Linked DNA regions of Drosophila melanogaster. The protein of the gene in region 1 purifies or fractionates together with the protein of each later gene. This does not show direct contact. Each region holds a gene or a part of one and is shown on either strand. Other genes may lie near its edges. The genes, in order: hrg and snama.

Region 1 (17,177 bases):
TTTATGTATACAATACAAATAATTTTGCCCTTCGGCTCTGACAAAATGTCACGTCTTTTGTTTTGTACCAATTTCAATATTTCATTATACACATTCGATTTTGGATGCTGATGAGGTCGTGCTGCTATTAATGCATATTAAATGCAATTTTTTAAGAGGGCCATTCGATGAAGTTATTCGGCTGGCTGCCTTTAATGGCAAATATAAACATGGAAAGCTCGCGAAAAACGCATGCGACAGGAATTTTAAATCATTGAATGCGAAATGACAAAACATTTTCATTTTCATACAAATTGCGGAATTTGGCAGGATGTCTTTCCTATTCCCATCGCCAATCCGATTCCAGCATTGTTTCGCATTTGGGTGGGTGGATGGTGTGATATCGTCAATATAAAGCTGTTCATAAATTTGCGGCGCCTGCAAATATGCAGCGGAAATTGCCAAAGCCACACGACTCTTCAATAACACACACCCATTCTATCCTCGGAAAACTCCAGATGGAGCTGGGATGTTTTTTTTATAGGCAACTCGGGGCAGGGGCATTTTGCTGCGGGGGAGGATTAGCTGGGCGATGTTCATCGCTCGTCGTCCTTGTCAATGCATTTCGTCTTTTGATAAAAGATAATATCAAAAACTCATTTGGCCTGGCCACTTTTAGGAGCAATCACCAAACGTGCACCCGAAAAAAATGGAGCATCTATATTCGATCGAAGTTTTAAAATATAACTTTAAGCCCATGGGTATTGCATGCCAAATACTTTAAGAACTTCTGCCAAGCCTACATTGCTATCATATAAATAAATAAATATAATTACGTACCAGTTTTATTATTCGCTTAATTTTGAATCCTGTAGGAAACTGTACTATGTTTTCTTCGGTATAATGTATTTTTCTCAGTGCATTAACAGAGACCGCTTTGCAGGGGTCCAGATGATTTATTATAGTCTATTTCCATCCTTGCCCGCTGCATGCGTCATCAATTTTTAGAGATAGATTTGCATGGCAATCGCCAAGGGCCATTAGGCGAAGCTTGCAGATACTTTGTACGCATCCGCTGGGTTTTGCTTTTGTTGCAGATGCAACATGCAACCGCAAACATTTAATAAAAACACGAGCTGACCATAAATAATTTGCTCTTTGCCCACATTTATATCCTAAACAACCAAAAATATTGCGCGCAAATATTAATTAAAAGTCACCAGATAGGAAAAGTTTATTCATGGATACACAACCACTGCAACAACCACTTAATAAACGCGCTTAACATAAATTAAAATGTATCCAACTATTTTCCCCGTCCAGGCTGAATACAATTAATTATATGTGGAAAAAAGAATGCAACAATTGAATAGAATAGTTTTGGTTCACTGTTTTTGTTTACTCTCATGTTTGCAGCTGGAATAATGAAATGAAAAATGTGCGGCCGCATGGAAAATTAATTGTAATTGTACATTAAAAGAGCAATAGCAAAATAATTCAGCAAAGATCCAAATTGCTCTGCCAACAAAGCAATTCCATTTGTACAAATTACTAGAAAGAGTAATGGAAAATGTTTAGCTTTACATATGCTCTAAATTACGAATGAGTACACACCAACTTATCACTGATGATTCATTTTGTTTAAAAGTGTCTGTAAATGTTACTCATCCGCCGTGGTGAACTCAAAGGAGCTTGAGTCATGCGTAGTCAACTTATCTATTTGCTATAAACACAAAGAATCCCCCAATTTTGGGAACTACTGGTTTACTGTTGACTTAAGAAGAAGTCCGACAATAAACACAAAATAACTATTCGCTACACGAGGACGACCGTCATTGAAAACTTTATCCAATCTTACAAACTATATAAAAAGTTACATCTTACACCTTAGTACCGACATAATCTGGATATAAAAGAAACATTAATTCTTTTGTTTTGTATCAAAAACTAATTGATTTATTTGCATTTTGTTAAAACTATGCAAATTTGAATATTTGGTTTACAAAATAATACTTTGAGTTCAAGTTGATGGTTTAAACAACCTGGGATTACAACGCACTTAAATCACCACACGTACGAGCGCTTATAAACTGATGGGTTGTTTCTGTGGGATGCAGTATGTGACATTTTCTAAATGTAGTGCGAGATTCGGCTGAAGATGAGCTAGCAAACTAGATGAATAGAGTAATTATTGTTTAACCTAATACAATTGTAGGATGAAGGCCTGACTAGATATAGATACATTTTATATTTATATATATATATATATATATATATATATGTATGTATGTATATATATGTGTATGTATGTATATATATGTATATGTATGTATAAAATGCAATTCGTACTGATCGGTAAGCGTTTGTAGAGTGCAGCCGCGTGCTCTTGGCGAAGCGATTGCATCTTTTGGCTTTGTGCAGTTTACTTTCATGGTTTTTGGCTACAAAAATACTCTTTACATACGGGCACATACACAATGTATAATTAGAGCCCCAAAATGGACCAAGCTACAGCCATGCACTTCGGGTGTGTGATTGTGTATGTATATGTATAAATATAATTTGGTTAATCTCATAGTAAAGCCACTTAGCGGCATCTTTCACCAGCGGTTCGTATAGAACTGATTGATGCCAAGCACATGCTTCTCCTCATGGTACTTTTGAAGGATATGTGTGATGACCGAGGTTGTGTCGTTGTCGCCACGCCACACGCGTATCGCATGTTCGTTTTCCAGGATGCCCAGAAATGCTGTAAACGTATGTGCAATTAGTTTCGATTTCAACTGTTGCTATCTTAATTAGATGGACATACCCAAAAAAGTCTTTGGATTGCTTAGGGTCATCTGGACTTGTGGCATTTCCAGGATCACCTTTAGGATGGGCGAATCGGGCGCCAAGCCTTCACGCAGTTCAATAACGCTACCCGATCGATTGTCGCACAACCATTCGCACGCGGACGCCTTGTTGTTGCCAGTTTTCTTCAGTGCCGCGAGCACTGCCGTCTCCTCGAAGCCCATTTCTGTAAGCGATTCCACAATCTCATCGCTGGGAGGGGAATCCCGGTGGCTGTAGATTCGTACAATCTCAATCAAGGCAGCAGTGTTTTCAATGGTTTCCTTTAAAAGAAAACGGTTGTCATTAAAAAGCGATAATCTAATTCCTACTTACATTATTGGTGACAATCGTGGAGGGTGAGATGGAAGATAGACTGTGCTGCATATTCATGCCCGGCGGTTCCTGTGGATTTTCCTCGTTTTGGTTCTGTATTAGCCACTCCATCGTGGTCGAGTAAATGCCATTGTGTGCTTTTAAGGCAAATGCGGCTAGCTCCCGCTTGAAGCCCATGTCCACGAGGCATTGCAGCGTATCCGCTTGCTGATTTCGGCGATTGATCAAACGTTGCTTTAGCATAGCTATCAGGCGTGGAGCATAAGGGCCAGCTCCTATAACCGCCGCAGAAGCTTGAGCCAAAGAGATCAACACCTTTCGCACATCGTATTGGATCTGGAAACGGAATAGGATTAGAATAATCAAAGGAGTAGCCAAGAATTGTACTCACATTCGACTGCTGAAAGATTTCATTAATATCGATGGTGGGCAGCTGGTTGCAATTGACGGGCACGTATCGGGTGGCGCTCTCCACCAGCTGCTCATTTGGGCCAGGAACCTCACGTATCCGTGAAACAGTCTGCGGCAGAGTATTGCGTCGTGGGGAGAGTATGAAAGTCTCATTGTTGCGAACTTTTAGCTGGGCCAGCGTGTCGCCCTCGTTAAGCTCGCCGCCGAAGTATTCCGCCCGATAGAGACGGTATCGCGGATTAAGATGCCGCACATCTGGGGCAAATAGCTGGATGGAGTCGGGATCGTCGCTCAGTTCCAGAATCACCTCACTCTTCAGCTCGTTTAGGCGCTTATTAACGTCCGTTTTGAAGATAAGAACCCGAGAGCTGGGGCAGATTACCCGCACCAGGATAGATTCACCTGGCCTGCTGGCATCGTCTGCCTCGCCAGAAGTAGAGCTACCTGGGCGATTTGTATGGGCTGATTTCCTAAGTGGATTCCGTTAAGAATGGACTTAATTAAAAGATTAGCATAATACCTAAGCATTACTAACCTGAGAAACAAACTGCGCAGTTTTTGCATAGTTTGTTTTAGTTGGATGGGTAGTGACAAACCAACGGAGAATTTCGAAAGACAAATATTTGTTTCGGGTGAGCACTTTGAAAAACATAAGCATATTCGTTCGGTTTGATAACTTACGCATTAGCCTGCTGTTGGTGAGTGGGCGTGGGCGAGTCCTGTGGCACCACCTTCTGATGCTCAGCACGTTCCTCTCGTCGCTGCAGCTGTAGCTCAAGGTGAATGCGACGTCGGCGAGCGGGCGATGGAGTCCTTAGGACGCAACTGCCCCCGCCCACAAGGGGCCGCGAATTGGAAGCGGATATCCCGCCATCCGTCTGCGTTTCAGATTCCGCCGTGTGGACATTCAACGAGGATCCGCTCAGGCTCTCCGCATCGCTGGCGTCTGTCCGCTGGCTGTGGCTATGACTGCTGCTCCGAGGGCTTTCGTCAGCCGGAGAACCACCGCTGCGCTTGCTACGCGCCAACCACTTGGCCCGTTTCTCGTTGAACTTCTCCCGCATCCAGGGTATCATCTTGGGTCTGCAGCTAGGTGTTTGTTACATTTTGCGGCACTTTTCGATGGCTATTTTGCATATTTCTCGCAAGTAAACAGAATCGATGCGTTATTGCAAAAAAAAAAAAAACGATTTTTATTTTTGTAAAGTCGATAGCAAGCAGCTGTTTGATGGTGCTGCCAGATAGGCCATATCCATGGGGAATACCCCTAATCTTTATAACGGCTATTTTGACATGAAAAACTATTTTAAAATATGTTATGTGGCTGAACTTTATAAATATATCGTGATATGTACATATATGAAGAAAACTATGTTATTCCTTATCGTTAGCCAATAACAATAACAGGAAAACATTGGGGTTAAATACTTTTGTTACTTTACTGCAATAAATAGTAGTTACCCGAATATAGTAATAGAATTAAAGAATTCATTTTCCAAAAACTATTAGTAATACAATCTAAGTGTCTTAATGGTAAATTGGTACCTGGTTAGACCCGTCATATAAAACCCAAACATACTTGAAATCCCAGTTTGAAATGGGTTTTCAAATTTCAGGTAAGAAAATTGGGTTTTGAATTTACCTACACCAAAGGTGCAAAAAGTGACATCTGTCGCAGATTTCAAATAAGCAGATGGCCAGATTAGGTCCCAACTGTAAAAGAACCAATAGTAAATCCTATGCCCTCAGCTTATTTTACTTAAGGCGGTATCGCTTGCAGATGACTCTCACTTTTATTACTTGCGAAACGAATCTGCTTGATAATGAAATAAAATGGTGCTCATACACATTATATTTAAAACCAATTTGCTAAAAATCATTTAAAAATTCTCACTAAAAATGTCCATTCACAATAGGCATACGTAAGCAGAGAGCATGGAAATCTTCCCATCCCTAGCTACTCCCATTGGCTCATCTCTATGCGCCGCAAGAAACGATAACGATTGCCACAAGCATCCAATCGATTGCCACACATTTTAATTATTGCTAGAACGCGCAGGGGCTTAAAAGTTAGTAAAATATGTTTGCCGCCCACTAAACGCCACAGCGTCGATCCCGTCGTGTTATCAGTGTGCCCCCGTCACCTCCGAAACGAAACAAAAGTGGGCGGAAAGCGTTTGTGTTTGCGTTTTGGCAAGTCGACTACTGGCATTTGTATATCGGTGTGTGCGTGTGCGTCACGTAGCATAAAACGCGAGAGTTTCTGTCCGTTAAGCAGCAGTGGAAGGTGGTGGAACGGGAACGGAAAAAGAAACGAAAAAAGAAATGTGAAGAGTGCGGCAAAAAAGCGAGGAAGACGAACGTGCGAAAAGAGTAAAAGCCGGAGCGACAACAGCACATGAATGGGATACACTCTCCTGCCAAAAGTTCTAACAAACAAACATACATACATACATATGCACCACTCACGAATGCAGCGGACAAACAGCACGACACGCCACACACACACACACCTTCAGATATTGTTTGAAGCGGCGGCACGGGAACAACAAAAACAGGCCAAGAATCTGAAGAATAAGCGCAGGTAAGCAAAAACAAGCAGAGAAAACTTTTCCCCTCGTGTGTGTATGTATACGGCGCGTGCCTGTTTGTGTGGGTGTGCGTGAGTGCGTGCGTGAGAGCACCGTTTACCTGTGTGGGAGGATTGTCGTTGGTGAGAGGGGGGTGGTGCAGGCGCATAAATATTCGCTTTCTTTGTTTATGTTTGTCATTGTCACAATTATTCTGCTACAAGCAACAGCTACGGCAACCCACTCCAACCGCTAATTTATTTGCCAATTTCTTTTACGCATTTGTTTATATGCCCGAAAGGCTATCCAGTGAACCAGTGTGCCCAGCTGCTTTGCGAAATTCATTGTTATGTTTTTTGTATATAACGGCGCTATCAGAAATATCTTATCGCACATTACAATTTGCATTTACTCAGCGCGAAAGTAAATTGTAATTGTCAATTAACTGTTTTGCTACACAGGAAGAAAAGGGTAATTTCAATTTAGTAGTAACTGTTGTATATATGTAGCCCTTATCACGTGATGAATGTGTATCCCACAAATATTTAGTTCAAATATTAGGTGATTCACTTTTTAAAAAACCGCGTCGTCATCAGTTTGGAAACGCCGTACAATAATTCTCACTTTAAGAAACCCTAATATTTCGCAATCCTTATGAGATTATCATAGTCCGAACAAACCTATTCAATTTCAATACGATCCGCTCTTCCTTAAGAATTTTAAAACCAAACCTTAGAGTAATGCTTTAGATGTCATACTAAATGTATTATTTTCTTTTCCAGCATTTTATTAAGCGCAGTTTCTTAAACAGAGCCACAAGAGGAGGTGTCGCATATATATGATTCCATTTTGTCTTCTTGGAGAGCAAACTTAAATATAATACCACATACATTTTAAGCCTAGATAGGTGAGTAAATCGAATATAGCGATTCCGAAAGGATCAGATAATAACCGTTTAAAATTTCAATTTTCAGGACATAACTTTAAGCTGAAACGAAGGCAGACAGACAACATGTGGAATTCCGAACCAACACATCGCCAGCACCATCAGCACAATGGAAATTCTACCTCGGGCGGACCGCCCGCCAAGCAATTGGGCATGACCTCGGCTATCAGTCTGGCCGAGCCACGGCCTGAGGATCTCCAGCGCACTGATGAGCTCCGCGGCTCACTGGAGCCGTACAACGTCTTTGAGAGCCAGGACGAGCTAAATCACCGTATGGAGATCCTGGCCAAGCTCAACACACTGGTCAAGCAGTGGGTCAAGGAAATCTCTGTCAGCAAGAACATGCCAGAGTCAGCCGCCGAGAAGCTTGGCGGCAAGATCTACACATTCGGCTCGTATCGATTGGGTGTCCATCACAAGGGTGCCGATATAGATGCCTTATGTGTTGCTCCGCGAAATATTGAGCGCACCGACTACTTTCAGAGCTTCTTTGAGGTGCTCAAGAAGCAGCCAGAGGTAACCGAGTGCCGCTCGGTGGAAGAGGCCTTTGTGCCCGTCATCAAAATGAACTTTGATGGCATCGAAATTGATTTGCTGTTTGCCCGTCTGTCCCTAAAAGAAATTCCTGATGACTTTGATCTACGGGATGATAACTTACTGCGGAATCTGGATCACCGTTCGGTGCGCAGCCTCAACGGCTGTCGTGTGACGGACGAGATCCTGGCCCTGGTGCCCAATATTGAAAATTTCCGCCTGGCACTGCGCACTATCAAATTGTGGGCAAAGAGTACGTGTTATTATATAAAATTCTTATAAATTAAATTCTAATTGTTCTCATTTTCTCTCTTAGAGCACGGAATCTACTCAAATTCATTGGGTTATTTCGGTGGTGTGACCTGGGCCATGTTAGTGGCCAGAACCTGTCAGCTGTATCCCAACGCTGCGGCTGCCACACTGGTGCACAAGTTTTTCTTGGTCTTTTCGCGCTGGAAGTGGCCTAACCCAGTGCTACTCAAGCACCCGGACAACGTTAATCTAAGATTTCAAGTAAGTCATAAAAACTTATCCAAATAGTCCGGTTCTCTAATAGATTTTCCTATTCTAGGTCTGGGATCCGCGTGTCAATGCCTCGGATCGGTATCATCTGATGCCCATTATTACGCCCGCATACCCACAACAGAATTCCACATTTAATGTGTCCGAATCCACCAAGAAGGTCATATTGACCGAGTTCAATCGCGGCATGAACATCACGGATGAAATCATGCTCGGTCGCATTCCGTGGGAGCGTTTGTTTGAGGCACCTAGCTTTTTTTACAGATACCGCCACTTTATCGTGTTGTTAGTCAACTCGCAGACGGCTGACGATCATTTAGAGTGGTGCGGCCTTGTTGAGTCAAAGGTGCGTCTGCTAATTGGCAACTTGGAGCGAAATCCCCATATTGCACTGGCCCATGTCAATCCCAAGTGTTTTGAGTTTAAGAAGGGCCAAAGTGCCAACAACTCACAAAACAACAGTGGAAATGAAGACGATCTGAAGCAGTCGCAGGGAAACCAGTCTGCTGTGACATCGGCACCCTTCTGCTCCATGTGGTTTATAGGCTTGGAATTCGAGCGATCGGAGAACCTTAACGTGGACCTCACCGAGAGCATACAAAACTTTACAGAGCATGTGATGATGCACGGCGTAAGTAAAAAATCGAAAATAATGTTTATTCAGTTGCTTATTACTTTTTTAATCTTGCAGGTTAACATCAAAATGCTTAAGGAAGGCATGACCATTGATGCCCGCCATGTAAAGCGCAAGCAGCTGTCGCTTTATTTAGACTCTGACTTCCTAAAACGTGAGCGCAAGTCAATGGAAAGTCACAATAATTTTAATAACACGCTATTGGCTAACCGCAAACGACTTTCTACGGAACTGGCCCAATCGCAGGATCCACTGCCCCCAGGCCAGCAGCCATCAAGTGGAAATCGCGGTCGGGATAGCGGAGCCAAGATACAAAGACTCAGCGATTCGGTTAGTGGTATAAAAAAGATATCAATTTAGAACGTATTAATTAGTCGAAACTTTGTATGTCTAGCTGACAGAGGAGAACTCGAATGCCTCCAGCGATATGGGGGCAGGGACGCCCACCACGCCCACAACGGCGCAATTAAGTGCGCCAAGCTTTAAGAGCTCTGGCAAGAACGGCTCCGAGATAGACGTTGTAGAGCAGGAACCGACACAGCCTCACAACAATGGCAATGCCAGCAGCAACACAACCACAACGGAGGTGGCATGTTCGTGACAACCGCCAACGCTACATCCGCATCCGCCACATCAGCAGCCACCGCCAGCGCCGCCACAGCCACCAGCTCACCATCATCATCATCAGAAGTTCCGAAAGAACAACAACGCGGCTGCGGCAGCCGCCTCCAACAGCATTTTCAACCAACGCTCGATTCTGCATGCCGCTTCCAGTCTATCGGCTGCTCTAAGCATTACCGGACATAAGCGCAAGCAGCAAACGGCAACATCAACAACCATGATCAGCAGCAGCAACATTGCTCACAGCAACTACACCCAGCATAGCACTCACAACAACAACGGCGGTGGCGGCGGCAGCCACTACAACAAAACGTACTACATTGATGATGATGACGAGGACAACAATCAACCACTTTTGACACCTAACAACCAAACACAACAGCAACAAAAAGCGGTCAGAATAACAGCTACATCGGCGTCACCAGCAACATCGGTTCCGGTAGCTGCGAGTGCCGCACCACCGGCACCGACAATTTCTTGTAAGTTGCCTAAATGTTTTTCCTCGTTATCGTACTCTCTTTTCATTTTCCCCAACTTCCTTTGACACGAGACTGTTTCTGTACTCTTAAGTTGCCTATCTACTTACTTTTACGTATTCTATAACCAGTATTCCGCCAATGTGGAAACAATCTAACAAAAACATACCTCTAATTTTTTAAGTTTTAAAAATTCAATTTACCTAGCCCGAGACTAAGCTCAATAAACGATGATGAAAATAAACTTTTTAAAAAAGAAAAAACACTGAACATTTTTCGTATTTTTATTTTCCAAATTGTTTACAGTGAAATTCGTTTGGTCAAACATTTTAGGCTATAGGAATCTGCAAAACAAAATGCGAGAAACAAACCTTGCTTTGTTCAATATTCAAGAAACAATTTCTAAAAAGAAATAAGTGTAAAACATTTACATTTTATTTTGTTTATATTTCGGGTTTTATTTTTTGTTTGGCTGTCTAGCTTTCGTCAGTTTTAATGAATTCATGGCCCTTAAAAAGCATTTGTTAATGTTTGTATTGGGTTTTATAAGGGACAAGCTAAGGAAACTGTTTTATATAGTAGCACAGATATTTCGGTTCTGTGGGATTTTACTACGATAATAACACACGTCTCATCTGGAAATTAAGTAAAAGATGAAGGTATTGTTAAAAAGATTTTTTGCTGTTAATTTGATTTTAATTGTTTCCACTTTGGTTGTACAATAAACTCAAACTTTTTACCACACCGAAAATTACGAATGTTTTGTTTGCATATTCTTGTTGAAGTATTGTAATTAAAACATATATATAAAACATACATATATTCCAATAACCGTTTTTATCCTTTTTATTGTCTTTGCAGTGTAAAAAGTTATTAAACATACCATTTAAGGATTAGTTATCATAGTTATTATCTCCCTATTGATTTCCTCGGCATTGATGCCTGAACATACATGAAGCCCACAATATTTTATACAAAACGGTGAGACTAATTTTGAATTAATGGCCACTGAAGTTTATAATTCGGTTTTCCATTCATTTCAGGTTTCTATCATACACCTTCTACAAACATGTGTTAAACATTATTCGTTCAACCAATTAACATCGCCCTATCGTCAAATCGAAATTGGCATTCGGAGATCAACAATCGCCGTTAAGACAAGAAAACATCATGACTTGAGGCGATTTTTAGCGGCAGAGAAAGCATTTCTCTAACATTTGTCTTAATAATATTGTTGTACATCTTTTTTACTTCCCCACAGCTGGTTTGAGGAGTGCGTAGAAGAGAGAAGTGTGGAGAGGAGGATGTGGATAAAGATGGATGGATGAATGGATGATTGACAGCAGCGGACTGACAAGATCCTGGAGAAGATTCGCTTTGAAAACTATTTACAAACTAAGAAGATTCTTTTTAATTTTTCATCTTGTTTTCAATATTTGTTTTCTTCTTCTTCTAGTTGTACAACGCTGAAAATTTGAAACAATTATGTTCGTTTTTCTAAGAAATGATATCTGAAAAAAGGTAATAACAAAAACATATAAATGAAATGAAGATATTGATTTAATTTTACCAAATAAACCAGAAAAATGAAAGCGCAAGCTAAAACACCAATGTATCAATGTTTTAATTATTTATTGGAGATGTGTGATGGATAATATATTTGGAATACAAAATATTTGCACTGAAAATGTTGGGAACTATTGGATATAATTAAATTGCTATAGAAAAATGTACTATTTTGCTAATGACGAATAAAGGATGAGTAGTTTGTTCCGAAGAAGCTTAAATTAAGAAAATAAAATATATTTATTTCTGCAAGCATAAATCAAGAAAATTTTTGAATTTACATTTAAATGAAGAGGAATCACAAATATGATAATCATTCCTTGTCCCATCAATTTTCTCGTACGAAGACTGATCATGATCAATGTCTAACTGAAATTTAAACAGGTTGAGTGAGTCCAAGATGTGGTTGCCTTTAGTTAATGGCAAGTTGGTGTAGCGGATACTTGGGGATAAAGTACTCCATGCGCTGGTTGCGTCTAATGGCGCACTCCTGGTACTCCAACCAGTCAGTGTAGGACTCATTGTGGCACTGCTCCGAATCCCCTTTCTCGTAGAGCTGCTGGCGAAGGGAGAAAAAGAAGGGGCGCACTTTCTTCTTTATGCTGTAGACGTGGCGCATCAGCCACTTTTCGACTTTAATCTCATTGTAGATGGTCGATCTGTTCAAGCAGACGGTGGTCAGATTGTCCATTTTTGGATAGTAATTACGGACCGGTTTCGGATCCACAGTTATTCGAGGTATTTCATGCCTAGCTACGGCGAAACGGGTGTCGAAGAAATGTCTACCAAAAGTGACGCCCCAAGCATTGTATTCCTTCTCCCCATATTGGTTTGTAACGAATTGTTGAATACTGACGGTCAGCTCTTTGGGTGGTTCAGTTCCTTTTCCTCCGGCGGCACCTCCTTCAGCCGCTCCTGCCGCCGCTGGAGCTCCATCAGCTGGCGCCGCAGCTTCAGGCGGAGGTGGATCTTGTGGAGAAGCAAATAGTCGAATGCCACTTTTATGGATTTTCTTAGGAGCAGTAGTGCTTCCTCGGGTCACAGTAATTGGTGGCGGATTAGTTTCATTGTAGCCAGCTCTACGGTGATAATCATCCTGTAGTTTCTTTGCGAACACTCTGAAGCCGTCGGATTTCTGCTGCATTTGGTTATTGGAGCTTTGATCCACCTTGAAAATATCGAACGTCGACGGATCTGGTTTTACTTGCCTTGGAGCTCTCTCCACCGGAACATCCTCTGCCAAGACGATTGGAAGTGACTCCAGATCGGTTGTAGCCAATGGCAAGCCAACGACTCCTTGTACCCATAAAATCTAATGGATTATAATATACATAGGTGCTGCAGTTGGTGGCTCGACGCACTCACGATTATCGATGATATTCCCAGGAGGAATCCTTGGAGGATTGCATACCAATGCATAGTGTTCTATGTGATATTTTAGGGGTATATCCCTTGTCTTTAAAGTGTGATTCAACAATACGAATGTAAGAAATAAGCGTTTTCAACAAGGAGCCCATAGTGACTTCAATTACAAAGAAACTTCGATTGCTAACTAGGCCGGGAAAGATCTATACAAATAATAGTTGGTAATGGTAAAAAATTTACAGTCAATATTGAAAATATATATTGTATCATGGAGGTTCGTTATGTTACTGTATACAGTAAAGGAGTTAACTACAATTTAAACAGGTGGTTTGTTCAAGAGCCATTAATATCTCAAGGATTTTAAATACATCGTGTACAGTCGCCACCTATACAGTTTAAGGTAGTGAAATTTTCTTGACTAATCCTGCGTGATACCTAGGATTTCGTGGGACGACACGGGGAACCCGACGGTGATCTGCGATCCCGTGTCCTTTCTGGTCCTAACCTAATTGCAGTTCTGCGAAAATTATACGCGACACAGCTGCGCGTTTTTCCCCGAAACCGAGTAGCATTAATCCGTTTATGGCCACGGATTAAGTTGCAAAATTTTCACTAAGGTCGTCGCGATCCGGGACGCGAATTCGCGGAACAGCCCCGACCCTTTCAGGTAACAACGCCCGCCACCCACAGGTAGGTGTTTATAGGACAAGAAAGTGGGTATAAAAGATCTAGCCGCTGGCAAGGAAGTCATCAGTTACCAACGCATCTTCAAAGTGTAAGGATCCCGCAGTGAGAAGCGAAGTCTTAAAGTTTGGAATAGCAATTATACGACAAACCTTGTTCGGTTTTGCCAATTTCCAAGCCAGCACTGGGTAAAGTTTGTCCTATAATCCCGAAACGACGACCAGCTAATTGTGAGCCACCTAAGGTCCCGATCCTGGGATGCATCTTGTGCAGTTATGTTTCAATCTCACATCACTGGGCAAAGTGTGTCTCAAGATCCTGGCCACATCGTCGCAACTTCAAATCAATTAAATCAAAAAATCAAGAGTAAGTGATATTGGGCACTCCAGTTTTAAAATTGAATGGCGAATGTCGGTATGGTCTCTTTTTCAAAGAAAGGTTTCGATTAAGCGAAGTGACTAGACCGAACACTCGTGCTATAATTTTAAAATATTCAACATGCTCAGTAAAGTTGCGAGTGAAAATTAAAATATTATGGAGCGGTTGCAATTAGTTTCTTTGGTCGTCCAGCCTTAGGTGATTTTTCCGGTCATAAAGCTAGACAACCATTGAAGTTCGTTGTGGCATTAGCAGCACCACGAGTCAAGAAATTATGTTAAGTGATCCCCAAATTCATCGGGCCATTCGCTAAAAGGAACGATCGTTGTGATATGAGTTGTTTCCTAACATATCACAGTGATTTTCCTTTATAACGCATGTTTAAAGTCCACAACTCATCAAGGAAAATGAAAGTCAAAGTTGGCAGCTTACTTAAACTTAATCACAGCCTTTAATGTAGAGGGAATAGTTGCTGTGCTGTAAGTTAATATACCATATCTATATCACAGTGGCTGTTCTTTTTGTACCTAAAGTGCCTAACATCATTATTTAATTTTTTTTTTTTTTGGCACACGAATAACCATGCCGTTTTTAACCCAAGGGAACTTCTGCTGCTGATATATTATTGAAAAACTACTATATCACAGTGGCTGTTCTTTTTGGTTGCACGGCCAATTCCAACGATTTGTCATTTGTGGCACGCATTTGTGTCACCTCAGTGCGAAAATTGAAAATTGTACAAAAAGAAGGGAACGGTTGCTGATGATGTAGTTTGAAACTCTCACAATTTATATCACAGTGGCTGTTCTTTTTTGTTTGGCAATCGATCTACGTTCAGTGGTTTGCCAGGACATGAAACAGAAATATTTTCCGTCAACAGACTTCTGATTGCACAAATTCCTCAAGCTTTGAACATTTGGGAAAAACTGATGAGACGTTGGTTTTCTAGCTTGTGCATCAATTCGTCATTTGTCTGCAGTTTTGTCAATCTTTAATTGCACTTTACAATTCATTGCTTTTTGTTCAATCATTTTTGGGTGGTGGTGCAACTAGAAGATATTTTATTTCTAGTGAATAAATAAAAACTGTATCTAGGTGTGTTGAATTTATAAGTTTAATTCTAAGATTTGATTTTATCTTCATTTGCAAAGTCAAATTCTAGTGGAGTTGATTTCTACATCTATTTTCTTCACTCTACTCTAAGCCAAGTGCGTATTTGTCAGTATAAACTTCAATTTAAAGAACCGTCTTAAGTTTGCACATGCATTTTCAATAGATGCTGAGATGTGTCATGGTAATGTGGGAGTACCACGTGCAAAACTTTCTATCCGGTAACAGCCTGCTGCTCAACCCTTTCCAGGTGAAAGAGCACCTGACTCGCATTTGGAATTTAACGCGTGTGCGGAATGGCCAAAAGTTGGCCAAAACCAACTCTTGGCCCGAGGCGTGGCCAGTTTGCTGCTGGCCAAATGCAAAACAAGCAAACGGCGCAATCCCATTCTGCATTGACATGGCCGCCATGCCATAATGTTCGTTATGGCTGCAAATGGCCAGCAGCCATTGTTGCATTGTGGCCAAGGACGTTGCTGTCTGTGCCACCGTTCCTGTTTCGACTTATGTGGGTTGCTAAATCCTCCAGCTCGACCGGAAGTGGGAATACACGGAGGAGGATAGAGGAAACCGAGTGGCGGAAATGCGATTAAAATGGTCCGTATAGTCACTGCAGGCATCCGCTGTGAGAAAAACAAAGAATAATGTTCGTAGAATTAGTGCGCTAAACAAAGATTAAACTTGTCTATAGTTTCCTACAGTGTTATTGTAAATGTATTGCCCCAATTGAATTCAAAATAAAACCCCAATAAAAACGCGTTCATTTCAATTGTAATATATACGCTTTTTATTAGTTAAAATAATATATATTAAAACAATAAATATGGGTATTTAGCTCTATTCTATCTTTGCATTCAGCCGATACAAGTAATTTTCCACGCGTATCTTTTGGCGCAGCACTTTTCGCGAATCCCGTTCAATTGTGGCCGTAGTTTGGTTGTGATCGTGGAAGAATCCGCAGTATCTGGCCGGTACGAATTGCTTGATTTTCTGCTGCCGACTATACCGCTCCGTCACCTGAAGATTGCACTTCTTGATCGCCGCCATCTCGACATGCATGCATTGTCGGCACATGTCCGCGTCATTGCTAAAGTTGTGAAAATAGTCACCCACTGGCTTTTCGCCACATGTCGAGCATTTGACAATGTTTTGGGGACTGCAAAATACGGCCACTGCTGGCCAGATGATGCGCTTGGATCCGAAAGCTGTCTCCACGTCCCAGTCCGGATATTTGAGGTGGTGCGTATAGGTTGACGGCCTGGAAAATAAAATTGAAAAACGCCCCCAAATGAAAAAGCATTCGATTGCGTTCATTCTTTAAAACCGCAGCAGGATTCTTACCCGGGTGTCAACCATTTTTGTTCACGCACAGTTTGCTTGTTGAAAGTGAAGTAGTATTGAGTTCCTGGAAAATCGGTAGCGTAGGATCCAATAGGGGGATATCCCAGTTCTCGAAAGATTGGTAATCGTGGCATCTTGTTGGCCAAGGCAGAAAATCCTGCCTTTGACGGGTACTGTAATAATACATTATTTTATCTACTGTGCTTACACTTATTTCTAATGAATTATATTTGAAATAAGTTTATTTTTAAAACAGTCCTACCTTAAATCCCATTGGTCTGGGAACATCATACGTATTAGGAGCGACCGACGGAATATTTTTGGTGTAGCTGTCCCTACAGAAGTCTCCGCTCGAGTCCCGATGGATTTTCCTGAGAAATCCGACTTTCGGCCATACTGGAGGATTGACCACATACTCGAAACCTGCAAAAGGGACATATTGCGATATTAGTGACTTGAATTTTGAAATCGAAAAATCTAGAACCTAGATCATTGCAACCGGCGACAACGAGCCTAGTTTCGGATCGCTGGCGACGCAGTTTTTCGCGCTCCTGGGCATTTGGTCTTTGGGCACGCATATTGGAGGAAAGTCGGTGAAAGACTGAAAGTTGTGCCGAAAATACTAAAATTGGCGGACTGTCGAACCGTGACAGCCACCGCACCACACGCATCGTAGCACGCACCGAGTGCCTTAATGGAATTCTAATATATATCCCTCCCATCGATGATGATATAAAATCAATATGTCTAAACCGTCGACGGTTCGCCGCGGAATCGGTGTGCGATGTTTGATTTCATTTAGCACATGTCTAGACGACTTTCCGTATTTCGTATTTTTTCAATGTTTCAATCTTTTCATTCTATTTCGCTGT
Region 2 (11,341 bases), 4.4 Mb from region 1:
GAGGAGCACACCAAGGAGTACTCCGAAGACGATGGCCCGCTGACGGAGAACATTTTGGAGGCCACCGCCAGCACCGATGATAAGACCTTAACAGGCAGCGTTACGACCTTGAAGCCCATCTATCTGGGCGAGGAGACCGAGACCCCCAGCCTGGAGACCATAACGGAGTCCTTTTCCATAACGCACACCAAGCTGAAGACCCAGATCCTCCCAGTTGTGTACGCAAAAAGGAACGAGACCATCCAAGTTACCCTAGTTCAGACGTACGATTACACCAGTCTCATCACTGTAACACAGACCATTTCCCCCTTGAGCGACGACTTCAATCCCTCAAAGAACTTCAAGGACTTCGAAGGAAGTTTGGACGAGGCTGGGTCGGAAATCAACCTGGACCTCGAGTTCGGAGATGAAGATAATACGGGCAAATTCGACGCAAAGATTAAACCAAAACTCAAAGTTGAGGCCAAGAGTAATGTAACTAGCCCGATAAACCCTCTGCTCCCGGAATCGATTAGCTTCCCGGAAACGCTGCAAAACAGCTTGATAACTTCCACGCGACCCGTGATCAAGCTCGAGACCATCTGGGAGTCCCATGTGGTGCCGCTTGTCAGAGGCACCGAGACCATCATGAGAACCCTCTCCAAGTCCGTGGGTGTGGTGGAGAAGACGGAATACGTCACTGATGTCGCCACGATTTCCATGCCAACGCCATCCTCGCAGTATCCCTTCTCGATCAACCCATTCAATCCCTTCAACCCACTCTTGCCCATTGCCCCGCAACAGTTCATCACATCCACCGAGGTCCAGCAGTCCATGGTAACGGAAACGAGCTCCAAGGTTCTAAAGCTGACCTTTGGCGCGAGGACCGCCTACACCACCATCTTCTCAACCTCTGTCGTTCCCACAGCTGTCACTAGATTAATAACCGCCACCATTCCCGGCCAGCCAGGCCAATCCTTCCCCAACTACTTTCCGCCTCCTTACAATCCATTCGCCTATGTTGGCTAGTTTTTAGGAGCATCTACGCAAGCGAGAGTGTCTAACCCCATTACTTCTTTGTAATTAGGAATCCTGTATTATATTTAAGAACACGTGCAAATATCGAAAAGGCGGTGATACAAAAAGCAGTAGATTTTATTATATTGTATGTGCACTTTGTCGCAAAAGTTGTTAATGTAAATACTCGAGTTAAGACTAAATTAGGATTGCATCGAATTTTTTGGATCTAAGATAAGCAAAATATGGTTGTAGTTCGGTTTAACTGATGTTAATAAATTTTTGAACCCTTTTATTCCCTAAATTAGTTTTTCATTCCGTATTTACTGCAGCTTAAGAGTTATTTGATTCTTCAAATGATCGATACTAATAGTTATACACTGTGTTCCATTCCACCGTTTCACGCGGAAGAGAACCGACAGAAATGCAGAATTGCTGCCTTTGCAAACAATATATAGAAATCGATTCCCAGCTATGCACATTTACCAAATGCTTTCCGTTACAACACTTATCAACATTATCTAATAAAGTTCAATACTTTCACTTTGTAATATAAATTACACTCCAACATCGATATCGATATCTGTGTCTCTATCGATACCCGCGTGTGCGTTCGCATTTCACATCTCTGGGGCTTTGGCGTCACGTTCGCATCTCTAGTAAATTGGAAAAAAATAAAATCGTCGGAGTTTTTATGTGCTTGCAGAGTAGTGTAAGTAATTGCTATTTTTGTGCCAGCTGCTTGCCGGTAGTAAACAACGCGCGTGAACTGTGATGCCTTGCAATCCTCAGCGCAATTCAAGTGCGGTTTAAGTCCGAACGACCCAAGAAACCCGAAGTGTACGTACATATGTATGTTTTCGCGTGTGTATTTTTATGCACATGCAATTCTATGCTGCTGCCATGCAAAGGTGCAAAAAATGCGAAATGCAAATATCGTTCACAGAATGCCCATTGATCTGACCGGATTTTAGGTGGCACATACGCATATGCATATAGCATGTTCCCGGAATTGTGCAACTTCGCATACATACATATGTAATGTCTTATGTTGGCATAATTATCCGCTGTTCAAGGGAAGTGCATGGTGCAAATCGGGAATCTATATTCGGCATACTTTGGTAAAGGGCCAATGAGATCGTATTTATTAGAAAATTGCCCATCCGCCGTAATATATAGCACAGCACCAATGATTAAGTTCGCACTTCCATCTTATCCCGAAGCAATCAAGAATGATTTCTGAACCTGCATGGCTTGCTACTGCTTAGTAGCTTATTTTAGTGATCTCTTAAGATTTGATGCAATATCATGTTTCCCACTAATCGACTATATGCATAGTTTCAGTTTTAGACTGTCCACTTAAACGTGTTAATCATGTTTTTAGGATTGCAGCGCATTGTCACACACATTATCTAAACAGCTTTATCTGTTTGTTTATTAAGATATTTATGAAGCATATTATGTATTCCCCCTGCTTTGACTCTGATAACGCAAGTGCCGTGGACACTATAAGATAATCGTATTTAATCTCTTCTTCGCAGATTTCTTTCATATGCAACTATGTCGGTACACTATAAATTTAAGAGTACACTCAACTTTGATACAATTACTTTTGATGGACTTCACATTTCTGTCGGGGACTTAAAAAGGGAGATTGTGCAGCAGAAGCGACTGGGCAAAATCATCGACTTTGATCTCCAAATAACAAATGCGCAGAGTAAAGAAGGTATGTCCACCGCAATTTAGAATTTTTCCCCTGCTACATGGCTTCCTTCCCTTTTCCAGAATACAAGGACGATGGGTTCCTTATTCCCAAAAACACAACGCTGATCATATCGCGCATCCCCATCGCCCATCCCACAAAAAAGGGCTGGGAGCCACCAGCAGCAGAAAATGCCTTTTCGGCGGCGCCTGCCAAGCAGGACAACTTCAACATGGACCTGTCCAAAATGCAAGGCACGGAGGAGGACAAAATCCAGGCCATGATGATGCAGAGCACAGTCGACTATGATCCTAAGACGTATGTGGTTTTAAATTGTTACAAAACCACCTATCTAATGTATTTTCTGTTTAGGTACCATCGTATTAAAGGACAATCGCAAGTGGGAGAAGTTCCCGCATCCTACCGATGCAACAAATGCAAGAAAAGCGGACACTGGATCAAAAACTGTCCCTTTGTGGGGGGAAAGGACCAGCAAGAGGTCAAACGGAATACTGGTATTCCGCGGTCTTTCCGCGACAAGCCAGATGCGGCTGAGAACGAATCAGCCGATTTTGTGCTGCCTGCTGTACAAAACCAAGAGATACCGGAGGATCTGATATGCGGCATATGCCGAGATATATTCGTCGATGCTGTCATGATACCCTGCTGCGGAAGTTCCTTTTGTGACGACTGTGTGCGAACCTCCTTATTGGAGTCAGAGGATAGTGAGTGCCCCGATTGCAAGGAGAAGAACTGTTCGCCTGGCTCCCTGATACCTAATCGGTTCTTGAGGAATTCGGTGAACGCCTTTAAAAATGAGACTGGGTATAACAAAAGCGCGGCTAAGCCAGGTAAGTTCATTATACTCGTTTGCATCGCTTAATGCAAATGAATCGAATTTCTCTTTTTAGCTGCAGTAAAAAATGAGGAAAAACCTCCTGTTGAAAAAGAAGTGGAGAAAAAGCCAGTCGCGGAGGTGGAACCCGAAGAGACTGAGGTGAAACCTGAAAAGCAAAAAGAATCCGAAACCAATGGCAGTAATCCGCCAAAATCGGAATCTCCAGAGCCTCCCGCAACCACAGAACCATCACAGAAGGAGAAAGATAAATATGATTCAGACTACGAGGATAACATTACCATAAAAATGCCCCAGCCTGCAGCTGATTCTACAACAGTGCCCAGCAAAGTGAGACATACATATTTGACACATCTGCAACATAGATACATAATTATTGCCTTAATGTTTCAGAGATCCCCCAGTTATTCCCACAGAAGTGAATCCTCTCATCGACGGGACAGGTCGGATTATGTTTCCGATCACGATCACAAGCACCAACGTCCATCAAAATCGGAGTCTGTTAACAAGGATCGCAGTCTCCTGCCCTTGCCCATTGGCACCCTGCCTAGCTACCAGGGCCACATGATGGCCGAATCAGAAGAAGCTCGTCGATCGAGTGCCTATAAGCCCCCTTATATGCAAATGCAGCGGGGCCCACCTCCTATGCACATGATGAGTCACCACATGCCAGCCTACAACAACGGGTTTAACAACATGGGACAGAGGCCTCCCCTCAGGTAGGTTTCTTTTCCACCCGTCCGGATCCCGCTACCATGTGGATCGAGTCAAGTGTCGAGGCCACTGGAACTCCGAGGTGTTGACGAGTCCATACGCAGCCGGTCCTGCCTGATCTCAATATTTTTAAGTTCCAACAGAGACTATACACACACACTAGTTAAGAGTAATTTAAGCTCTGGGCTCTGCGCCTTTATGCTTTGTTGAATATTGGTTATTCCTAATTAAAACAGTATTGCTTACAATCAACGTTAAGCTTTTTGAATTGTAATTAACTTCTAAAATTTCAGCTATGTGCCGTATCAAAACCAATCCGTACACCCAATGCGTGCGCCGTACGGATCTGCAGGCGGAGGTATGAATATGAATATGTCACAACCATTTCAGTCCCCAAATTTAGCCTCGATATACCAAGGGGTGGCAGCGAAGGTCGGTTCCGGGTGAGTATCTTTAGGGCGTTGTAGAAGCGTGGGATGACAAGTAATCCCAATGTTTTGCAGTCCCATTGACGATCCGTTGGAGGCCTTCAATCGCATCATGAAGGAGAAGGAGCGGAAGAAGGTGGACCGCTTTCGAAGCTCTGACCGCCACAGGTCAAGGTCCCCGGATAGACAAAGGCACCGCTTTAAGTCTCCCATGTACGAAAAGGACAACTCCAGGGATAATCTCAAGGACAAAAGACCGCGATCCCGGGAAAGGAAGCGAGAACATAGCTACGAACGGCATATACGCCACCCTCGTTCTAGTCGCCAGCCGAATGATGGCTCTAAGTCCCCAGGTGGCAGAATCAAAAGGTAGTTTTACCACCAGCCCTTTTCCATGTGCTTACATTCATGGTCTACTCTCTGCTTTTTAGATCTGGACATCGTCGCTCTGCATCTCCAAAGCCGGGCTACAAGAGTGATTACAGAGACAAGCCGTACAACAAGCCTAGTGCTCCCAAAACGGAGGCAGTTGAGCCTCCTCCCCCCGGATTCGAGCCGTTGCAGCTGACGGATGAAGACGGCTACAGGAACAAGCACCCGACCAGTTCGGAAGCATCACAAAGCAGCAAGGGTGATAGCAGCAAGAAGAGAGGGGAAAACAGGCACGAAGAGGCGCCACGAAAGAGGCACAGGTCTCGCAGCATTAGCAAGGAACCGAAGCCGAATGACAGCAACTACAGGAGCCTGACTCCACCAGCAAAGATCACCACACCGAAAATGACTGCTGCCCAGTTGAGGCAACGCGAAAGTTCACCGAAGACGCCGGAAAAGAGTCACGACGATTATCTGACCGCGAAGGCCAGAATTATGGCCTCCCAGCCCGTCATCAACGACACGGAAATGGAGACCAATGTGGGCAAGGAGAACAAGGCCAAGAGTCCGTTGTCAAAAGATCGCAAGAAGAAGAAGAAGGACAAGGACAAGGCTGAGCGCAAGAAAAACAAGAAGGACAAGCGCGCTAAGAAGGAGAAAGGGGATCGCCAGAAGAAGAGCTCCTCAGTTAATCGATCTGACTCGGATATTAACAACAGCTCACTAATGAACGAGTCAAATTATAAAGTATTGTCTCCCAGGGCTCAAAGTCCCAGCATTGAGATCAATGCGGCTCAACTTTCCCCTACTCACAACGCTACTGAAAACGTTAATCCGAAGAGTCATTCCATCCTTACTGTGGGTGCTGCTAGCGACGATAATCTTGGCCCAAGAAGCAAACTCAGCGAGGCTAATTCTGTCAATCTATCCAAATGGGAAATCGACGAGAATATCTTAGGTTTGGAGGATTCCTCCAAAAAAGCTGCCGGGGCCTCCGACGATCCGTCGGAAATAACTTCAGACGTCCTGCGAAAGGCTGAGAACGCAATATTTGCAAAGGCTATTAATGCCATCAGGCCTATGGAGTTTCAAGTTATTATCAATTCCAAGGACAACAGCAAGGACCGCTCCGTAGTTCGAAGTGACAAGGATCGCTCCTCCTCACCCAGGCGTAACAACAGCAGCAGGTCGGTAAAGGATAGGCTGGGCACCAAGATTTCCAATGATAGAAGCCGTTCGCGAGACAAGTCGAAGGGCAGGCGCCGGGCCGCAAGGAGCTCCGACGACGATGCGAACCGCGGCAGGTCGGATCGTCATGGCAGCCGGAAGAGGGACAACAGATCCCGCGACAGGGCGGCGCCTTCAGAGAAGAGGCAGGAGCGTTCGTACAAGCGAAGCTCGCCGGAGGACGACAAGCTGAGGCGCCAGAACAAGGAACAGTCCGAATCCAAGCACGGAAAGCATGATCAAAACAATAGCGACGACTCGGATCGGAGGGCGGCCAAAAACACCAAGTCCAGCGACAGCCGAGTGGTCTCCTCTGTAACAGCCGTGGTTGCTCCTCCCAAACCCTGTCGTCCAGACAACCCGTTCCGCAAGTTCGTCGACACCAGTTCGTCGAGCAGCTTAGTTGTAAAATATGATAACACGATACAGAAGGAGGGCGCGTCCTCGGACAACGGCATGGAGCACAGGAAGCAGAGGGATAAGAAGCTGAAGAAACATTCAAAATATTCGTCAACCGATTCGTTGAAGAGCGAGAAGCGCAAGGATCCGAAGAGCAAAAAGAAGAGCAAGATTTTGAAGAAGAAGAAAAAATCAAAGAAGTAGGTTACGGTAGGCTACGAGATAAGAATGATATAAATATTGAAGATTAATGTGTACAAATCAAAGATTTTTAATGTATGTATTTATCATGCAACTATAAGTATACAAATAAAACAGAACTACTCAAGGATTGCTTGCTTGTGATCGATCTAACTTTCGATTGCCCGCCGAGTTAGAAGACGGTGGATTGATATTCGAGAAATTAAATATGTTTATTACAAACAGTTATCTTAAAAAATCGATTAAATTACACGTGTAGAGATTGACTGAAGTTAATCATTATTGCTTAAGCCGTCCATGAAGGACGATGCCATTGGACTGGGCGTTCTGGAGATAATGTTGTCATTGCCATAGTCATCGGAGTTTGCATCCACTAAAAGCACAGAATAATAATATATATATGCATTAGGAAAACTCCGACTAGTCTGTGCTGTGCATTAAATGCTGCTTGCCTTGTTCTAGAAAATTGGATTTTCTACTCTGGGGTATGCAACTCAGCGAATGTATTATTGGACTGCAGGCTTGATCGGCTGTTTCGAGCGTGGTTGGTAAGTCTAGGAGTCGTTGATTTTGAATGCCATCCCCTGGCCCCATGTGAGAAATGTGGTTGAAATTAGTCGGTGCTGATATCATCTTTGATCTACGATCACTACAAATAAAAAGCGAATAATGAGGACTCGAATCGATTGCGCCAATAGGTTAACTGAAGCCCAACCTTTTGATGGTCTTGTTTATCTCCCTGATAGAGAATCTCCGCTTTATGCTCGGAAGTCCCTTTCGATTTCCGTCACGGTATTGCAAAAGGCCCTCTGCAAATAAAGCATGTGGTTTAATGGCCCTGATAAACAGACGTGAATGATTTAGCTTACTTGTGTGAATATTGGATAGGTAAACAATCAGCGGAGTGTCATTGACTGAGGACAGCACCACGTTTCCCAAATTGTTTAAGGGAAGTGATTGCTTCAATCCAATCGACTGCACCCATTCGGCAGTCTGCGTATTGAATATATCCAAATGTGTATCCGAAAACACCAGCAAGTGACCATCACAAAAGGCTGGAATGAGTCCACAAAAGAGTTATACATCATGAGTCATAACCGCATCTCGTTTTTTACTCACTTATATACGTAGGGAAGGCTGGATACATAATTTCCCTATCCCGAGACTTTCGCCCTTGCAGGTCTACGTATATGGCCAGAGTCTGGAACACCAGTAAGTACTCCCCGAAATTGCCGCCGCTGGGGCACAGAATTTCAATGACCCTGACCGCATCCACTCCGGAGTAGTTCAAAAATGCACATAACTGGTTCTCCGGATGAACCAAAGCTAATGAAAGATACGAAGACGTTATAAAGACTCTCAGAAAACGTCATCTATTACTACTCACACATTGCAGTTGCTTCTCCGCGCAGAAAGTATGCGGTAAATCCGCTTTGGTGAGCCACAACCAATCGCATGTCGGACAGAATCTGCAGGTGCTGCGCCATGTAGCCAATTGTGAATTCGCAAGTCTTCTGGTGTCTTGTGCGCGTTCTATTGATTTCGTAAACTACGATTTGTGTGTGGTTATTCGGCCGCTTTAGAGCGATGATAAATGAGTAAACGATATTGGGGAAGCGGCGGATTATTCCAGTGCAAGCAGATATGCAGTTCTTCGATTCGACCACCTTGATCCACTCGACATCACTAGCCTCTAATGCCCTTATAGGTAATAAACGCAAGTTGCGCTGCTTTCCGCAGAGAATGACGAGGATCTGCTCCTCTTCAATGTACCATAGCTGAAGAATCTTCTTGCTTTCGCCAATACGAGCGATCTCTGGAAATGTTTGTTAGCATTTAGTTGTGCCCTCTTCTACTTGCAAGTTTTCATAAAATGTGATTGCTTACCGTACTGGTCCAGATTAATGTAGAACAGGCCGTCTTCGGTGCCCAAGAGTATTTGATTTGGATATATGATGACAGAACACAATGCGTTTCTTATTAAAGACAGGGTATTGTCCAGAATCTCGTTAACTTTAAATATAGCAGTATTTGGTAAGCTGTTTCGTTTCAATATTCGATGTAGTTCTCCCAGGGCAATGACCCACTTGGACTTCTCCGACTCGTTGTCGGCGAGCATAAGGGTGTTCAGCGAAAGACCGCCATCGATAAGGGCGGTTTTTATCTGGAATGAGGAAGATGCACACATTTAGTCTCAGGAGATGCTGCGATGGCAGTCTGTTTACCTTGAAAATACATGGCACATCTTTCTTGGCGGCATGGATGACATCGCTTTCGCGCACACTACCCACCGAGAACTCGGGATCCCTCATATCCAGCACTTGGGACACGCTCACGCTGGGCAATGCACACCGATCCGGCGAAATGTCATAGAGGAACAACTTAAAGTCGCAAACAACTACGAACTGCCGAATCCATCCTCGCTTAATCACCCCCGACTTGGGGACCTTTACGTAGCCCTCGTATGCCGTGCCGATTCCCCTGGTGGGATCGATTCCCAGCGGCCGTTTCGTCTGATCCATGGGCACGGGGCACGTGGTGGGCACCTTTTGGCAGCAGATCGTGTGACAGGCGAATCCGCAGATCTCGCACACAACGCCTTGTCGTGTGAGCCCCACCATCAGCGATGTGCAGTGATTGCATTTTGTGGGACTACTGAATGTGCGCACCAGGAACTGATGGATCGCCGTGTTGCCGGGCACTTTCTTCTGAGATTCCTTGACCAGCTGGTCACTCTCCTCGCGGGACAAATCGCTGACCGAGGCTTCTTTCATGGACGAATGATCCTTGTTGTTCTTACCCGCATACTTTGGCTCGTAGTTGAAGAGCATGCCCGAATTGCCGGACTGGAAGAAGTTGGGAGTGAAATTGTCGCCGGATTCGTTGCCAAAGCTCTCGGCAGAATCTATAATCTCGGAGTTCTTTGACATGTCGCGGAAGAAGGCGCTGCTTAGCCCATGATGCGTTGATTTGTTGAGGAACGACTCGGAGTATTCCAAGCCTCCCTTCTGCAAGTCCCGCAGTTCGGTTTCCTTCTTCTGGAAATCGTGCAGTATGGAGTCGTACCGCTTTTTGTAGTCTCGAACCTCTTTCTGTGTGGATATGAGGTCCGATCTGGTTTGACTCAGCTCATCCGATATCATGTTCTTGGCCTGAATCTCCCTTTGCAGCGCGCTCTGCAGGTTGAGCAGCTCCATCTTGTCCAGCTTCTGAGAGCGCCGGTTCCTCCAGTTCTTATTGTCCACACCGTTGTTGTTGAAGGTACCCACATGCTTCAGATACTCCAACTCCTCCGTCATTTTGGTGGCCAAGGCCTGCAAGTAGCCTCGCGCGTCTTTCTCATCGGACACCCATTGAATAATCTCCGCCATTTGCCGCTCCCACAAGGTGATGGCCTCCCGTTTCATTCGCAACTCCTTGAAGATCTCGTCGTCCTCCGCTTGAAGTTCTTTAAGACTCTTTGACTTGAGATTCACCTCGGAGCTTAATCTCTGCTTTTCCTCGAACCATGAGCTTTTCTCCAAATCATGCTGCTTCTTCAATTCCAAAAGCGTTTCGGCGGAATCGGTAATCGACTCCATTTGAGTGTACTTCAGCCTTTCCTGTGTTTGTTGCAACTCCTTGGTGAGTGCCAAATTCGCGTTCTCTAGCTCGCTGAACTGCTCGCGCAGTGCTTCCAACTCCATATTGTGGCGCGTCTGCTGATGACTTAGCTTTTCCGAGAACTGGAGTTCAAGGCGTTCGATCTCGTATGACGACATCTCGGAGGAAATGCTGAGTGGCATAGTTGTCTCCACACTCGAGGAGCCCTTCCGCAGCTCCATCTGCAGCTGCCTGCAGCAGTCCTCCGCATGCTCCCGCAGCTTCTTTTCTTTGGCAGCCTCGATGACAGCATCCTCAATGTGAAGCTCCAATTCCCTTCGCGTTTTGTCCGACTTTCTCAGTTCGTTCCGCAGGCTGTCGTTCTTCTGCATGGCACCATCAAGCTCCTCCTCCTTGTCCCTGACTTGGCGGGAGAGCTTCTGCTTCTGATTTCGCAGCTCCGAGAGTTTCTCAGTGACCTCCGAGTACTCCATCATGGCGATGTTTCGTTGAGAGATGGCGTCCTGAAGTTCAGAGTCTTGAGTTTTGAGCCGTTCGAAAACCTCGTTGTGTTGCTTTGACAACTCTGCCTTTTCCTGCTTCAAAGCCGCAAGCTGATCGTTTAGTGCCTTCAGCTGAACGGAGTCCACCGGTGTCTCCGAGTTGTTGCTCGGCAGAATGGCCAACTGGGGACTGCTTATGGTGTCCAAGGTATCATCTCCGAAGCCCGAGCTCTGGTTCTTCTTCGAGTCCAAGGTGGAGCTGCTGGTCAGCGAGAAGGTAAACCCGATGAAGGGCAAGTGAAATCCAGAGAAGGCAGGATTGGCTGACGGCGGAATGGAGTCCGTTAACCGGACGTCATTG

The links.
Region 2: the proteins of hrg (region 1) and snama purify together in Drosophila melanogaster (affinity purification with mass spectrometry, with the first as the bait; one large-scale study listed by BioGRID). This does not show direct contact.

The regions. Positions count from the first base shown.
Region 1 is NT_033778.4:19,658,212-19,675,388, reverse strand, and holds hrg (hiiragi), read left to right. Parts: upstream 1-5,556; 5' UTR 5,557-6,142; exon of another isoform or gene 6,143-6,271; intron 6,272-6,320; exon of another isoform or gene 6,321-6,599; intron 6,600-6,910; 5' UTR 6,911-7,035; intron 7,036-7,102; 5' UTR 7,103-7,140; coding exon 7,141-7,861; intron 7,862-7,924; coding exon 7,925-8,121; intron 8,122-8,179; coding exon 8,180-8,761; intron 8,762-8,821; coding exon 8,822-9,094; intron 9,095-9,158; coding exon 9,159-9,365; coding exon of another isoform or gene 9,366-9,864; exon of another isoform or gene 9,865-10,129; intron 10,130-10,722; coding exon of another isoform or gene 10,723-10,727; 3' UTR 10,728-10,842; intron 10,843-10,904; 3' UTR 10,905-11,470; downstream 11,471-17,177. Other genes in the region: Kpc2 (Kip1 ubiquitination-promoting complex subunit 2), read right to left, coding at 2,580-2,728, 2,792-3,095, 3,148-3,483, 3,539-4,028, 4,094-4,105, 4,240-4,634; CG11018 (uncharacterized protein), read right to left, coding at 11,840-12,739, 12,793-12,846; CG15125 (uncharacterized protein), read right to left, coding at 15,802-16,222, 16,306-16,478, 16,568-16,728, 16,790-16,883.
Region 2 is NT_033778.4:24,084,995-24,096,335, forward strand, and holds snama (something that sticks like glue), read left to right. Parts: upstream 1-1,609; 5' UTR 1,610-1,708; exon of another isoform or gene 1,709-1,836; intron 1,837-2,537; 5' UTR 2,538-2,556; coding exon 2,557-2,722; intron 2,723-2,781; coding exon 2,782-3,016; intron 3,017-3,070; coding exon 3,071-3,549; intron 3,550-3,609; coding exon 3,610-3,884; intron 3,885-3,947; coding exon 3,948-4,273; coding exon of another isoform or gene 4,274-4,277; exon of another isoform or gene 4,278-4,518; intron 4,519-4,561; coding exon 4,562-4,711; intron 4,712-4,771; coding exon 4,772-5,065; intron 5,066-5,127; coding exon 5,128-6,898; 3' UTR 6,899-7,020; downstream 7,021-11,341. Other genes in the region: CG16786 (uncharacterized protein), read left to right, coding at 1-1,008; gek (genghis khan), read right to left, coding at 7,168-7,268, 7,348-7,544, 7,611-7,704, 7,765-7,950, 8,015-8,221, 8,283-8,711, 8,783-9,059, 9,121-11,341.